Linked DNA regions of Ovis aries. The main gene of each other region encodes a partner of the protein of the gene in region 2 in a complex. Links are inferred from orthologs where the notes say so. Each region holds a gene or a part of one and is shown on either strand. Other genes may lie near its edges.

Region 1 (4,416 bases), on a different chromosome or scaffold from region 2:
GTGTCCAGTAAGGACACAGATCAGGAATGGGGGAAATGGGAGGTTGGGGCACAGAATGCCTGGGTCCCGAAGCAGCCCCGGCAGCACACCCAGCCATCCATCCCTCCGGTGTCCCCGTCCTCAGATACGCCAGCCTCTACTTCTGCTGTGCCATCGAGGGCCAAGACAATGAGCTCATCACGCTGGAGCTGATCCACCGATACGTGGAGCTCCTGGACAAATACTTTGGCAGCGTAAGTCTCTCCACCCACCCCAGTTTCCGCGCTCAGCAATCCTCTTTTTCTACCAGACTCGGACCCTTCCAGTCTCTGTTCTGACTCAGGAAAGGGGAAGTTGGAACAGTGAGAACAGTAATTAATCTCCCTCTTTAAGCCTTAAGCCTATTAGCCATGCGTCTTAATCAGGCCCCCATGGGAGAAGGGTGGGAACCAGAATCTGCCACTTAATCAATCCATCTACAGCTCAGCTCAAACTTCCCACACAAAGACAGAGGTCATGTTCAGATAGTATCAGTGGTTCCTAACCTTGACTTTGCTTTGGAGACTTCTGGATAGTTTTTTTTAAACAATAGCGATGCCTGGGAATCACCCCCAGAGATTCTGAATGAACTGATCTGGGCTACAGCCTGGGCACTGGCAGTGAGCTCATATCTTAGATGGGGAATAGTAATAACCATAACTTGTGTTTCACTTAACAGTTTACAAAGAGCTTTCAGGTTCTCCTGTTTGCTTCTCATTCCATGAGTAGGTGTTGGTGTCTCCATTTTTGGAAGAGAAAACGGACTCAAGAGAAGTTAAATGGCATGTCGAGTTAGCTGGTTTCCTTCCAGGCTTTCCTGGCTTGGTGATAAAGAATCCGCCTGCCAGTGCAATAGACGTGGGTTCGTTCTCTGGGTTGGAAAGATCCCCTGGAGAAAGAAATGGCAACCCACTCCAGTATTCTTGCCTGGGAAGTTGCATGGACAGAGGAGCCTGGCAGGCTGCAGTATATGAGGTCACAAAAGAGTCGGACACGACTTAGCGACTAAAACAAGAGTTAGCTGGTTAGTGTCAGAGTGTGGCCTAGAATTGAAGCCGTTTACTCTGTGACCCAGAGTCTCCTTCCCTGCCCTGTCACAGCACCTTGGGGTGCAGGGAGTGGGGTGGGGATGGGTGGGGAGGCCGACCCAACCTCTGGTAGGATTTGTGTCATAGATTTAGGGGAGAAGGCAACAAGAGTCAGGGTCAAGGGTAGACTTGAGCAACTAATATCTCATGATCACAGAGGAAGAGAAAAGGAGAAGGAAAAGCTGAACCCAGGATGAAAGCCTAGGGGTCAGGAGGACATAGACCTGGGGCAAGAACCCAAGGTGGAGAGTGGTCATGAAGGCCACGGAGCCAAGGTGGGGAAAGAGCTGGGGAGGCTGGGGCGCAGGCGAGGGGGGAGAACGCACCTTGACCCTCACCTCTGCCTCCTCCCCCGCCCCCCAGGTTTGCGAGCTGGACATCATCTTCAACTTTGAGAAGGCCTACTTCATCTTGGATGAGTTTCTGATGGGGGGAGACGTCCAGGACACTTCCAAGAAGAGTGTGCTGAAGGCCATCGAGCAGGCGGACCTACTGCAGGAGGTACGGGTCCGGGACAGTGAGGAGGAGGAAGAGGACCGTGGCCGAGGGCACCCTCCCTACCCTGGACCCTTCACCTGTGGACCCCAGCTGCCCTCTTCCCGCCGCTACCGAAACGGCCCCCCTTCCCTGTGGCGTTTGGCCCCCACGCTGCCAGGTTGGCCAGCTGGGCCTCAAGCCCTGACTGCTCAGGGTAGGAGGTAGTTGGGGGCCAGACAGCCCGCTTTTGTCCCATGCTTCTCTTGGTGTTTAGGGTTGCCCGGAGAATTGGAGAAGGGGCACACAATAGGTCATTCTTTTTCTTCCCTGGTGTCTTCCCTTTTTTAAAAACACACACACATACCCAAAGCCTCTGCTGCTGAGAAGCAGAGTTTTGCCCTGGGGATTTCAGGGTTTGGGTGGAGGGCACCTGGTCGTTGGTCCTCCCTTCTGTCCGACACCCCCGCCCTCACCCCGTTGCTGCCTGCCCCCTCTCTGCTGTGCCGCTGCTGAGCCTTGGTGCAAGGAGATGAGTCACCGGAACCTGCAGTGATGAGCAAGCCGGCCTGAGCCGGCTCTGAGGAGGGGGAGAGGGGGTGCTCATCCGTGCAGCCGGAGAGAGGGTAGAATCTGACTTGCTACCTCACTGGTCTAGTCCCCCATCTCACACAGACACACACAGACACACACACACACACACACACACACACACACACACACACATGTGCCCTGGCACTCGCACACCCACCCTGTTACTAGTGCTCTGCTCAGACCCTTATGACTCATCTCTCTGCAGTCTGGTCCACTTTCCTCGGGGACCTGACGCCAACTTCTTACTGCCTCCCTCGACTCTGGAGGGAAAAAACAAAAAGGTCCCACCCAACCATCTGCCACCTCCAGCCCTGGGAAAGCAGGTTTCCCAGCTCCCAAGCCCCCATTTTACTCCCTTCCCTTCAGCTAATAAGGTCGAGCCCCCTGCTCAACGAGCTCCCGGCTTTGGGTTCTCTGGGTGGTGGTGGACTCGGTTTGGTTGCCTCAGTTGGCTCTACAAGGAGGCCTCAGGAGGCTGGGCAGCTCCCCTGAAGGGTCCCCGGCCTTTCCAGCCTTGGGCTTACTTGGGCTTCTCTCTCCCCTCTCCCCTGTGTCTCTGTGTCCGCCCCCCTGCCCCGGTCTGCCCTCGTGATTGCTGCCCACCCACCCCCCTCAACCTCACCCCGTCTCTCCTGGTGTCTCCCCACCACCCTCTGTCTCTGCCTTAGGAGGATGAGTCGCCACGCAGTGTGCTGGAGGAGATGGGTCTGGCATAGCCCTCGCCCTGGGGCCGAGTGGAGATGTGGGGATCTGGTGGAGAGGTGGGGCATTGGTGGCCCTTTTCCTCCTGCTGGGACCCAGCTGCGCCTGCTCTGCTGCCTCACCTTTTTCTGCAGTGAGCTGTGGGCTCAGGACCCTCAAGCATTCCCTCCTTCTACCCCTACCTCCTGTTTCCCCTTTTCTCACTGAAGGCTTTAAGGAGCTAGGAGGCAGGAACATGTGACCAAGTCGGGGGTGCTATTTGGCTTTCATTCCCTGCCTTTGAAGAACCAGTGTCACCCCAAACTTCCCCCATCCTTATAACTGTAAATATATAAATATGTCAGGTTAAAGGGAAAAGGTTTTCAGGGCTCTTCTCTTCTCCCTGCCCCATAACCTACCTCCAGCCCTCCCCGCAGCCAGCCGGGGGCGGCCTCTCTGCCTGGGAGGGGGACTTCTGTGTCTCCAGAGGGAAGTCCTTTTCCCTCATCTGCCCCTCCCCTTCCTTCTTGGCTGCAGTGGGGCCTCTGTCCAGTGCCCGGGGAGGAACAGCATAGTTAATTTTTTTCTAACCTTGCTACTTTGAGGGAAGGGAGGGCTGGGGGGAGGGCAGGCTTTACAGGAGACTGGGCCCTGTCCCTCCTTCACTCTTTAAATTCTGGGTGAGGCAGGAGCTAAGGGGGTGGGGTGGGGAAAGTGTCTGATTCTTTTTCTTTCTCTGAAATAAAAGGAAAAGCATTTCTGGACTTTGGCTTGCTTAGGCTCTGTGAAGGAAGGCAGGGCTGCTGGAATCAGTGAGGACAGAAACAGAACCCTGCCCATTCCATTCCACTCTTCCCTGGAACTAGGATTGCCAGATTTAGGGGGGGGGGGGGAAGAGGACACCAAGTTCAATTTCTTATAATAATGAATAATGCCTTTTTAGGATAAGTGTGTCCTGTGCAGGGCTTCCCTGCTGGCTCAGTGGTGAAGAATCCGCCTGCCAATGCAGGAGACTCAGGTTCAATCCCTGAGTCAGGAAGATCCCCTGGAGAAGGGAATGGCTCCCCACTCCAGTATTCTTGCCTGGGAAACACCATGAACAGAGGATCCTGGCGGGCTACAGTCCACAGTTTTGCCAAAGAATCGCACATGGCTGAGGATGCATGTATATGCTTAGAAAAGGTTTGACAAGCGGCTAAAACCAGGATGTTTTTTTAGCTGCCAATACCTCCCCATAGGAAGTGTTGATCATGTGAAGTAGGTAGGACCAGGGAATTTAGGGAGCAGTTAAGGAAGGTGGGTGGGTAAGGTGGAGCAGGGGCGGTGGGGAGCCACCCATACTGCCTAGGTGGCCCTGAGATGGTTCAAAGATCTCAACTAGGTGGCCCAGAGCTGCGGTTCCTTATTCACTCTGCATCTCTGCCCAGGACGTGGGGTCTTGTGACTAACGGTCAAGCTGGTAGTGGAACTTATCGATTTCTAAAGGATGTGAACCCATTCTACCGCCGCCCCTCAAATTCGGTTGAAGGAGGTTCTATCACTCAACCCTCGCTTTTGAGCA
Region 2 (3,231 bases):
GATCAAGACTCCACTTGGGTTGGTGCCCAATAGACCTCCAAGGCGGGGCTGGGTGATACGGGAGAGGGAAAGGGAGACACAGCCCCTGCAGGCAGCAGGGGGCAGGCCTGTGACTGCAGTGGGCAGACAAGCTGCCTTCTGCCCACGGCCCTGCCGAGACCCCCCTGTGGAGGGGGCGCCAGGCCGCGGTCCTCAGACTCCAGGGCACGTATGAATCACATGCAGAGCCTGTTAGCCGGTCTCCTGGCCCCACCTCCAGAGACTGCCACGGCGGGTAAAGGAGGGCGCCTGTGAGCCTGCACGTGCGGGGGGACACTGATGCTGCTGGCAGCAGGACCACACTCTTGAGGAAGCCCACTGGGCTGCGGAGGGGAGCAGGCTGCTGGTGGCCCGAGGGCCGAGGGCTGTGACGGTCATCTCAGACGGGACGGAAACGTTTGCCCGTGAGCCCTCCCCTCTGCAGCCCCTCTGGGAGGCCCCTGGGCAATGGCTCTGCTTGCTCATTGCCTGGTCCCGTCTTCCCCAGGGGACATAGGGGCCCCAGGGACTGGTGCCCCACTCAGGTTGGTGTGCGCCTACCCCTCTCCTGGGCACCCAGGAGTCAGCACAACGCTGTACCAGACGGAAGGCATGTTTAACCGATGGAGTTTAATGTACTCATGGCACAAACATGGACAGGGTTGGGGGCGGCGGTGTCCAAGCACAGATGGGGATGGCCTGGGACCCCCACCCTCTGAGGCTGGGGGCCCGCGCTGGACCCCTCTTCCCCTGGCGGGACAAACACTGATGTGGCTGAGTGACAGCATCATGTGGCACGGGCTGGCCCTGAGAAGGCGTCTCTATTCAAAGCTCCAGACCAGGAGCCTCTAGTCGAAACGCCAGGTGCTGAGAGGGCAAACCGGTGTCAGCCTCACTGGGGAGGAGGGCGAGGAAGGGGAAGCCTGTCCTCGCTAAGTGCTGCCTGAGAGCTTCAGGACGGGGGAGGGAGGCACAGACAGCGAGGATCACATACACAGCGACGGCCGGAGACAAAATCTAGGAATGCTCGATAAACCCACGGCATCCAACAGAGTGGCAGCACGAGGGCAGCCCTGCCAGCCTGGCCAGAGCGCGGCCCGGGCGGTGCTTCCCACTCTTTCTGTGACCGGGAGCGGAACAGCACAGAAGGCTGTATTTGACCTCTGGAGGGAAAGATGCCTTTCCTTCTCCCTAAACTGACTCAGGGACTGAGAGACAAGACCTCTTGAAGATGAGCCTCTTCTGGGAAAAGGGGACTTGGGAGGTGAGAGTGGCGGCGGCAGAGCAGGTGCACCTGGGAGGAGGGGCTCCTGGGTGGAGCCTGGAGGGGCGCCAGGGTCCAGGGGAGCCCCTCCCTCCAGCAGGCTGGGCAGGCGCTTCCACCGGGAGCCTCCGGGCTGGGAGGGTGGGCCACCACGGCTGCTCACTGGGTCCGGAGCTGGTAATCTACAAAGAGGGAGGGGGGCGTCCATTGTCTGCTCTGACCCTGGAGGAGGGGCCGCCCCACCTGCCCTGACCCTGAGGTTGCTCCCTGAGCACCACCCTGGGGACAGAGGCACGCCCACCAGGGGCCTTTTCAGCAATCCCCCCCTGCCCCTAGGGCGGGTCGCACGCACCTCCGTTCTGAGTGATGTAGCGAACCCACGGTAAGGCCTGGTAGCCACTCTTCTCGATGATCTTCAGGTAACGCACCTGCGGCACAGGCATCAGGGCCCTAAGCATGCACACGCGGCCCCACTCCTGGCTGCCCACCCAGCCACTCCTCCTGGGGCTGGGCTGAGACCAAGAGGGCGAGGGAGAGGGCGAAGCACATTAGTCTATTTCACACTCAGGCCGGGGGAGGGTGGAGATGCTTCTAGAAGGTGCGGCAAGAGCCAGATGTGCACTCGCAGGCACGACCCTCTAGCAGATTCCTAGAGAAGGGGTCAATCCCAGGGTTTTCTGCCCCATACAGGGCTTCCGTGGAGGTGCCAGGAAAATGGACCCCACAGCGGCAAGTGTGTGGACATTAGTTTTGGGGGCTGAATGCATCTCTGAGCCTGGAGCACAGGTCAGGTGTGAGCAGACCACTGCAGGCCTCTTTCCATCAGGGCCAGGCTGCCCACGGAGACGGGCAGGGCGCCCACGGAGACGGGCAGGGCGCCCACGGAGACGGGCAGGGCGCCCACGGAGACGGGCAGGGCGGCCACGGAGACGGGCAGGGCGGCCACGGAGATGGGCAGGGCGCCCACGGAGATGGGCAGGGCTGGGGAGCAGCTTGGAGTGCTGGGACGAGTCAGCTAGCACCCTTCGCTAACTGGCTGCACTCGTGTCTGTCACCTTCAACCCTCTGAGCCTGGACTGGTGCCTGGCCCCTGAGAGGCCCCGCTGGGCCTGTCCATGTCTGCCCCGGGGCCCCGGCTGCCCTGGTTGCACGTGCCTGGATGCCAGAGGTAGTGAAGTAGGGGATCTCGAACTTGACGCTGATCGGGGGCTTGCCCTCCTTGTCCTCTGCCTCCACGCTGGGCAGGCCAAAGTGGGCCCGCATCAGGTACTCCTTGCCGCCCTGCGGGAGCAGACCACAGAGGAGATGGTCAGGCGGAGGCCCTGGCAGGTCCATCCAACAGCTGCCCCTGGAGAATGCCAGGCTGAGGGCCTGGCCAACGAGTCCCTTCCTGCACGGTCTGTGGCCACCCTGGGCCTCGGCTCCTGCAACACACTCACACTTACCTTATCCTCTAAGCCTCCTGGGCTGCCCACACCAGCCCCGCTAGGGAAAATTCATCCTCTAATTCTGAGGATGAAGAGAAACTGCTACAAGTTCCCAGGCACAGAAGCCTAGTTGCGTCGAGGAAAAGAAGAACACTAGGCCTTGGGGAGGAAGGAGGGAGAGGAAGAGCGAGCGCTGGCACGGGGCGACAGGGCTGCCTGGGACTGACGAGCTGGCCCTAGGTCTCCCCCTGGAAGGGAAAGGCTCTGGCCCTGGAAGCGGACTCCAGAGCTGGGACTTGTAGCGGGGGAAGGAATGGCTGCCCTGCTGGTGCAGTGGTAAAGAATCCACCTGCCAATGCAGGAGATGCTGGTTCGATCCCTGGGTCAGGAAGATCCCCTGGAGGAGGAAACGGCCACCCACTCCAGTATTCTTGCCTGGGAAATCCCATGGACAGGGGAGCTTGGCAGGCTACAGTCCACAGGGTAGCAAAGAATCGGACACGACTGAGCGACTGAACTCTC

The links.
Region 1: the proteins of AP1M1 (region 2) and AP1S1 are in contact, whole or in part, in a crystal structure (PDB 1W63), measured with the Mus musculus proteins. The link is inferred for Ovis aries from reciprocal best matches to the Homo sapiens genes AP1M1 and AP1S1. Residues at the interface, in NP_031482.1 of Mus musculus: Lys12, Glu31, Asn186, Asn188, Val189, Leu190, Glu232, Glu234, Asn270, His272, Arg421; in NP_031483.1 of Mus musculus: Lys26, Lys30, Arg33, Glu34, Gln37, Lys43, Glu51, Trp52, Arg53, Asp54.

The regions. Positions count from the first base shown.
Region 1 is NC_056077.1:36,001,468-36,005,883, reverse strand, and holds the end of AP1S1 (AP-1 complex subunit sigma-1A), read left to right. Parts: intron 1-124; coding exon 125-233; intron 234-1,469; coding exon 1,470-1,808; 3' UTR 1,809-2,842; coding exon of another isoform or gene 2,843-2,890; 3' UTR 2,891-3,619; downstream 3,620-4,416. UniProt on the Homo sapiens protein: Subunit of clathrin-associated adaptor protein complex 1 that plays a role in protein sorting in the late-Golgi/trans-Golgi network (TGN) and/or endosomes.
Region 2 is NC_056058.1:6,573,121-6,576,351, forward strand, and holds the end of AP1M1 (AP-1 complex subunit mu-1), read right to left. Parts: intron 2,564-3,231; coding exon 2,438-2,563; intron 1,711-2,437; coding exon 1,635-1,710; intron 1,465-1,634; coding exon 1,442-1,464; 3' UTR 629-1,441; downstream 1-628. UniProt on the Homo sapiens protein: Subunit of clathrin-associated adaptor protein complex 1 that plays a role in protein sorting in the trans-Golgi network (TGN) and endosomes.